Linked DNA regions of Tribolium castaneum. The protein of the gene in region 1 binds, or shares a complex with, the protein of each later gene. Links are inferred from orthologs where the notes say so. Each region holds a gene or a part of one and is shown in the gene's direction. Other genes may lie near its edges.

What was found.
Region 2: IntS2 (region 1) and IntS4 share a complex: the UniProt entries of both Homo sapiens proteins name them as parts of the integrator complex. The link is inferred for Tribolium castaneum from reciprocal best matches to the Homo sapiens genes INTS2 and INTS4.

The regions. Positions count from the first base shown.
Region 1 is NC_087401.1:16,828,992-16,832,965, forward strand, and holds the start of IntS2 (integrator complex subunit 2), read left to right. Parts: upstream 1-1,170; 5' UTR 1,171-1,286; coding exon 1,287-3,974. Other genes in the region: Arc42 (short-chain specific acyl-CoA dehydrogenase, mitochondrial), read right to left, coding at 1-143; RpS27 (small ribosomal subunit protein eS27-like), read left to right, coding at 496-750. UniProt on the Homo sapiens protein: Component of the integrator complex, a multiprotein complex that terminates RNA polymerase II (Pol II) transcription in the promoter-proximal region of genes.
Region 2 is NC_087398.1:12,616,353-12,620,299, forward strand, and holds the start of IntS4 (integrator complex subunit 4), read left to right. Parts: upstream 1-1,146; 5' UTR 1,147-1,233; coding exon 1,234-1,287; intron 1,288-1,340; coding exon 1,341-2,089; intron 2,090-2,143; coding exon 2,144-2,511; intron 2,512-3,947. UniProt on the Homo sapiens protein: Component of the integrator complex, a multiprotein complex that terminates RNA polymerase II (Pol II) transcription in the promoter-proximal region of genes.

The DNA.
Region 1 (3,974 bases):
TGGGCCACAATTCGCGTGAAAACGAACATGATGTACTGTAAACTACACGGACGTGTACTTTGCTCGTTGATTATTAAATTGTTTAGTAAAAATTCCGTAAGTGGTTCCAAGGTTAGGTCAGCTGTCAAAACTGACAGCTGCATTTTTTACGAATTAATGGGCCCCCATTAAAGTCAGAGCCACGTTTTTATTGAGTCCAAGGGGCGCACGGTTAAATGGTCAATCAATAATTTATTTATTTATCAATTAAGGCGGGTTCTTTCGGCTCGTTGTGTTGGTAAGACGGCGTTATGGTGGTACCGCCTGTCATCTGTCACTTTCCTTTACACGGTTGATAGCCGAAGTCACCACGTGCGTTGTGGAAAAAATCAGCCTTTTTGAGTGTCCCAAGCGTTTAAAAACGTACGTAAAAGCGTAAAACGACCAAAAACATGCCTAGTCAAGTGTTTGTGGTGAAATTTTGGCGTATTTTGAGCAATGTTTGTGTTTTTCCAGATGCCGTTAGCAGTCGATTTATTGCACCCTTCTGCCGAAAAACAGAAGAAATCGCATAAGAAGAAGAGGTTGGTGCAACATCCCAATAGTTACTTCATGGACGTAAAATGTCCAGGATGTTACGCCATCTCTACCATCTTCTCCCATGCCCAGTCTGCAGTCCCCTGCAAAGGGTGCTCCACCATCCTGTGCACATCCACCGGGGGCAAAGCCCGACTCACGGAGGGCTGCAGCTTCAGGAGAAAGCAACATTAATGTAGTGTATTCATTTTTTCTAATAAATTTTATTGGGAGTAGCCGCTTTTTCATTCATCCTTCCAGCCACCGAATGGCCTTATTATCTCTTACACGCAAAAAAGGGAAAATGTAGCAAAATTGTGCAATGTTCTAGCGCCCGGAAATTGGCCTAGTGCCAAAAAATCAATAAACACAAGACCAAAAACCAAAAAGTCGTCGCAATCTATTCATTCAACCATGTCATTTGGCCCCAAATCCACAAAAAAAATAACTGCAGGTTCAGACCAGTTGAGACACGTTAGGCCAGTTGACACTTGTCAAAAAACATAACCACACTTATCAATTAATTAACGACTATCCAAGCCGTAGAATGCCCCCAAAGGGCGCAATTAAAGCCAAAACCCCTCAACCAGCCTCAATAAATAAAACAATCAAGTATTAATTATCGTTTTATTCAAAATCGTGGTCAAGCCGGAGCCGGTAAAGTAGATCGCTGTCGCGAGAGCGCACATAACCCCAAAAGTGCCGTAAACAAAGCCGGTTTGTGCGTGAAAATGTCGTTTAAGAAAGGCGTGGACCCCAAGGTGTTCCGCGCCATCCAAAACGTGGACATGCACCAGCTGTCCGAATGCACCGAGGTGGAGATCCGCCCCGTGTTGCCCTGTCTCGTGCGAATGGGGCTCATCTCGCCCCTCGACACGTCGAAAAAATGCACCACCATGAAGGTCGACATTCTCACAATCGTGTCCGGGATGGAACTGGTCAATTCGATCGTTGCCCTTCTTTCCATCGATTTCCATCGACTGGAAACCGAGGTCAAGAAGGAGCAGCAGCTGCGCCAGAAGGGCGTAGCCCTCCAGAACGACTCGATCCTGATCGGCAACTTATCAAACACCAGCATGGCCTTGGAGTACGAACGCAGCGACATGACCCGCCGTTTGAGCATCTTACTCGGGGAACTACTCTACGTCCAGAGCCAAATCCAGGACGAAAACTCGGACACGAGCTACATCAAGCCCTCGGAACTGTTCGACAACGACATTTTCGCCGAGGAATTGTCCGATATTATCTGCATAGCCTTGGCTGAACTCCCCATAACTCTAAACATTTTGACAATCACTGAAACCCTCCTCCACTTGCACAACGGCCCGCCCATCATTTGCCGAATCGTGGCGAACTTCCCCGACTGCTTCCGAGAGGTTTGCACCTACTTGATCCAAACGGGGGAAAAACAGGAAGAAACCAAACTGAGCACAGTCCGAGCCGCCACGATTTCCCTCCTCTGTAAAATGAATCCGAGCCAGGCTTTGACAATCCGAAGCAAGTGCGTCGAATTGTGCCGAATGCCCGCGCTCGCAATCACACTATCTCTGGACGGCGGGGAGGGGGACATGGTGGCGTTCATCTCCGGGCTGTTGCTAGGCAACGACCAAACAATACGCAACTGGATCGCGTTATTTATCCGGACTGGACAGAAAAAGAAGGGGGAGATTTCAAGCACCGCCCTTTTGCAACTAAGGGAGGAGTTGTTACGTCGCTTGCACGTGATTCTCGCCGCTTCTGTCGAAGGCCACCTATTGGACAGTCTCGTGGTTCAAGGCTCCGCCCTCTTGCGCCTCTATTGTGCGCTTCGCGGGATCGCAGCAATCAAGTTTCAGGAGGATGAAGTCACGGCATTGGTGCGTCTGTTGACGTCACACCCAAGCCCCACCCCGGCGGGCGTTCGCTTCGTTTCCATTGGTCTGTGCATGTTGATTGCCTGCCCCTCGCTGATTTCGCTGCAAGAGCACGAGCGACGTAGCATCGAGTGGGTGCAATGGTTGGTGAAGGAGGAGGCGTATTTTGAGTCGGCCAGTGGCGTTACTGCCAGTTTTGGCGAAATGTTACTACTGATGGCTATACATTTTCATAGTAACCAGTTGAGTGCCATCTGTGATTTGGTGTGTGCCACTTTGGGGATGAAAATCCCCATCAGACATAACAACATGACAAGGATGAAGCAAGTCTTCACGCAGGAGATTTTCACGGAACAAGTTGTAACCGCACATGCGGTTAAGGTTCCGGTTACGAACTCGTTAAGTGCGAATATGACCGGGTTTTTACCCATACATTGCATCCATCAGTTGCTTAAATCGCGCGCGTTTGCCAAACACAACGTGAATATAAAAAACTGGATCTATAAGCAGATCTGTACGAGTGTTAGTCCCTTACATCCAGTGTTGCCAATGCTAGTGGAAGTGTACGTTAACAGTGTTATAATGCCAACCTCACGGAACACTGAGACTAATAAGCCGTTGAGTGAGAATGAGATACGGCGCGTGTTTCAAAGTTCGATCTTTGGACAGTATTTCGACCACAAAAAGTCGATTTTTACCATGGATTTTGACCTAAATAGTGAGAATCAGGACGTTGTGGTGGATGGTACAAGTCTCACCCCACAACTCCTCCTCCTCTACTATCTCCTCCTGTACGAGGACTGTCGATTGGTTAACGCCCACATTTTGGCCGCGTTTAACCGCAAAATCAAGTTGTATAGTTCCGAATTTTTATCGGAACTACCAATCAAATACTTGCTACACCACGCCCAAAAAGACCAAAGCTCCTATTCGGGTCTTTTCGGGCCGTTGCTCAAACTCCTAGCTACGCATTTCCCCCACTTGACACTAGTGGAGGATTGGTTGGACGATATGTCCATCAAAACGGAGCATAAGCCAACCCACGTGACGCAAATAAGCGTCATTGAGGCTTTCAATGACTTGGACACTAACCCATCAAAGTGTGCCAAGCTTATGCAAACTTTACTCAAACAGCAAGCCATAGATATATGGCCATTTGCCGAGATTTTCACACAATTCGCCCGCAAGATCCTAAATGACAATGTCCCACGCTACTTACAAGACCTGTACAGAGACGTATGGTTACGCTTTAATACGGTACTTCCCCGCCGATTGTGGGTTCTAACCGTCAAAAACCTAGTCGATGATTTCTCAAACCTGACACGAATCGATGTCGCTGAGGATCCTCTCCAGATCATGCGATGCGATGAGCGTGTTTTTCGCTGTGCCCCTTTATATGCGATTGTTTTGAGGGTGTTGAGAGCAAGTCTCGCGTCGTCTCGCAGCCAACTAATGCAACATTTGCAAGCTAATCCGAGATTGGATCATGCGGGGCAAGTTTTAAATGAGAGTGATAGAGAGGAGATGTGTCGGGCGACCATTGCAGCACAGGAAAGTGCAGCTGTT
Region 2 (3,947 bases), on another chromosome or scaffold:
AATTTATTTATCGTATGATTAGTTTCTTTGTTACTCGCAGTGTGGAATCTACAATTGTTTGTTTTTTCTGTTCAGTTTTTTTCCTAATAATTAAAAGTATTATCGTTCCACTCTGCTCTAGGTTACTCCGCAGTGCTTCAACGAAGCATTTAATTTAGTTTCAGATGCTTTTAGTTTAATGCTAGCGCTTAGTGATTAGGAAGAAAAAACTTCAGTTTACCATATGTCAAGGCATTATATGACCTTTTTACCTTATAATACTCACTTTGTAAAATAAAAATGTTTATTGTATATTGATTAAATAGTATAATTTGTTGTACACATTACAAATGTGAGTACAAATGCGACCGAGTCGCGTCATTTGTTATTTTCTAATCCTTACCATCTTACAATTGTTGTCTATGTTATAAATGTTTACGTAATGTTACAATTGTTTTGTAAATCGATCATACTTAATGCTCTTGTTTACTAATTTTTGTATTATAATCAGTATTTGTTGATGTTTTTTGTAAATGTTCGTAATTCTTATTTATGACAGTTTGCCATGGTAAAGGGATTTATATTATTATTATGTTTTTTGTTCTATTTTGGATCTCATTCAATTTAGTTTTTTTTGCTTGCTTCTTTGGCCCATAACTGCCAACTTTTTTCCAACTGTGTTCTCTCTGAAAGACAATACTCAAATAGACTACATATACGTACGAAAAATATGTACATCCAGACACTTTATATAAACTTTTTTGTTTATATTCGCCATAGAACATGTTTTATACTCAGATTACGTTATGTATAGTTATATCAGATTTTATCTCCTCTTTATTATTGATTTTATAAAGTATTTTTATACCTAGATTCATATATTTACATTTTATAACTTTATTATATAATTGTGAATTTATTACAAATAAACATTATTTAAAACAAATGAGTTTAACCCGACCCCCAAACCCATCCCAAACGATACGCCATTGGCACAAACAAACCGTCATTCGGTCCAACAACAAAATAGCATTAATTACCTAATTGGACAAAACAATAATTTAGAATTAATGCCAGAAACCGACAAATGCGGTAAATTAATACCTTTACCGCTCATAAATAAAAAAAATCAAAAAACCAAATTTTATGTAATTGTCACCAGGTGGCGGTTGCGTAACTTTTTGACATTTGACAACAATCACAAAATAAAATGTTTAAAAAACGCTAAAATCGGTTAATTACCACATAAACACGATGGCTGCAGTGTTGAAAAAACGCGCTTTGGCCGAATTCACCCAAACAATCCAGGTATGGGCTAAATTTCCCTTTGTCCAAAATGAGGTTATGTTTACATATTCCAGGAAACTGTTCCTTTCCAACCGATTAAAAAACTCAAACTTGTCAAGAAGCCTTCCACAGGCACCGGGAACTCGTCTTTGGCACTTATTAGTTGTCTTGAAGGTTGCAAAAGCAGTAGCGAAGCCCTACGAACTTTGCTTCGTGTCTCTGATACTTTCGAGCTTGAGGCTTCAGATATTCCCGAAGCAGTTAAAAAACTGAGCGATCATTTTAAGAATGAGCCAGAGTCGGCCGTTAGAGTAAAAATTTTGTCACTTTTGTGCGACATTGGGCATCTACCCAACGCTGATGTTGTGTCCATTATTGACGAGACGATTTTGTTGCTTAAAAATGACCATTCACATAAAGTTATCGCTCAGGGGATGAATACCGTGCTTAAATTAGGGAAGCTGGTCTCTGATAATGTCATCGCTTTGCATCAGAAACTGGTAGAAGTGGCGAAAAGTTACTTGAAAGATGTCAGTCATGCTGTCAAGAGGAAATGTCTAGAGATCATTGGCGTGCATACGCCGGTTTGTACGGGGGCAGAGGCGGAGAAATTAATGGTTTTGATTAGTTCGTACTTTAACCACGACGACGCCAGGGTGCGTAGTCAGGCTTTTTCGACGATTATCACCCTACATGAGCGCAATTTTAAAATAAATCCGGACATTTATATAGATGTTTGCGATGCCTTAAAGGACGACTACGAAATTGTCCGTCAAGTCGTTCTCAAGTTAGTGTGTCTTTTGGGCAACACGTTTCCGGAAAAGTAGGCTTAGCCTAAACCCTCTCTTCTATTTACATTTAATTGAAAAAATTTCAGTGAGGTTGTACTTCCGGGAAGTGAACACGAAATCCGTCTCATAGACGACGCTTTCGGTAAAGTTTGCAACTCGATTTCTGATTTATCAATCCATGTTCGAACCTTGGCGGCTAAACTATTGGGAACGATGAAACAAGTCAGTGCGAAATTTCTCAACCAAACTCTTGATAAAAAATTAATGTCTAATATGAGGCGCAAAAGGACGGCTCATGAGTTGGCTTGGGAAAATGTAACGAGTGGAGAATGGGCGAGTGGGAAAAAATGGGCCGATGACGCCCCCAGGGAAATCCTCGACGCTGACAGCATCAATTTGATGAGCAGTGGGGCGTGTGGGGCCTTCGTGCACGGCTTGGAGGACGAGTTTATGGGTAAATGACGAGGCAAAGCCGAGTGTCATAATTTTTATCTACAATTATCTACTTTTTTTTGACTTATTGGTAATAATACAGTTGTGGACTTTTAGGTAGTGGTAAAGAACTTTAGATCAATTTTTTTTTAATTTCTTTGATCATTAAGCAGATATCTGTTAAAAAAAATCATCAATTATGTGCCAATTAGTGTATTATGGTATTTAAAAAATTTAATAAGCTCACAAATTAGATAGTAAATTAAATTTGACATCATTGGGAATAAAAGAACAATGAATGAAACTGTTCCTAAGGAAAACAAATAGAAAATATACAGGATGGTTCAGTGAAGACAGTTCACCCAAGTTTTCGATGTTTGGACTCGATTTTTACAATTTATGGGGTTCATAAAGACTAAAAAAATTATGGCCATTTAGAACATTCAAATAAATAATTTAATAAATAAACTGTAATTAAAAAAAAGAAATTTTTAGAAAACTTATACCAAATAAAAAAAATAACACTTGGTGGAAGTGCGGGCAAGACGGGGTATGAGCTTTAAATAATAAACTAATTGACTAATAATCATTTTTTGTACGTGGCGAAGCCCAGTTAAGACAGCTTTTAATTGTAGATTTTTAATTGAACGATACCACCATGCCTTTTGCGAGTTTTATGAAAAAAACCTGTTTTTGGCGATTTTCTTATGATTTTTTTCACTTTCTTTAGTACGTGTCTGTTTTGTTAATAACAAAATTTCAAATTGCTTTTATGGTTATTCATATGTCAATGATTTTTCTAACAGGTTAACATCTATTTATTTGTAGATGACAACATAGTTTTTGGAAGTTAATTTTCTAACACAATTTGCCGTAAGAGGGCAAGACGGGCTGAGACCTTGCTCGTAACAGTAATATGTAAAACTCCTCTCTTCATAAAAAACCTTAAACCATAACAAAGTTTGGAAAATAAGCAAAAGAATAAAAATTACAGAGCTAAAGGAAAACTGAAAAATCTGGGGTTGATAAAAAGAGTGTTCAAAAAGAAAAAGATTTTAAGATTAGACCATCAATCGAGAGCAACAGTGAAATTGAAATTAGGGGTACCCCATCTTACCCACAAGGACTTTTTCTACTTTGTTTCACTTTTATATTTAATAAAGGTTCCAAATAAAACTTATTAATCACAAAAAACTAATTACCAAGGATAATTAATAATACAAAAATTTTATAGAGCTTCAAACGTTAAGTACCCCGTCTTGCCCGCACTTTCCCTATTGTAAAGAGGTTTTAATAGATTTTAAAATAACATCATAATTAACCCCTGTTTCCATTAAAAAAATATATAATTACAGGCAGCCCCTCTTTGGGGGTTGAAGTGGTACGAACACAAAGTAAATATTTAAGTGTCCCCCTTGGATATAAAATCGCACTGTCTTAGCGTTTTGAGTTAAGTGA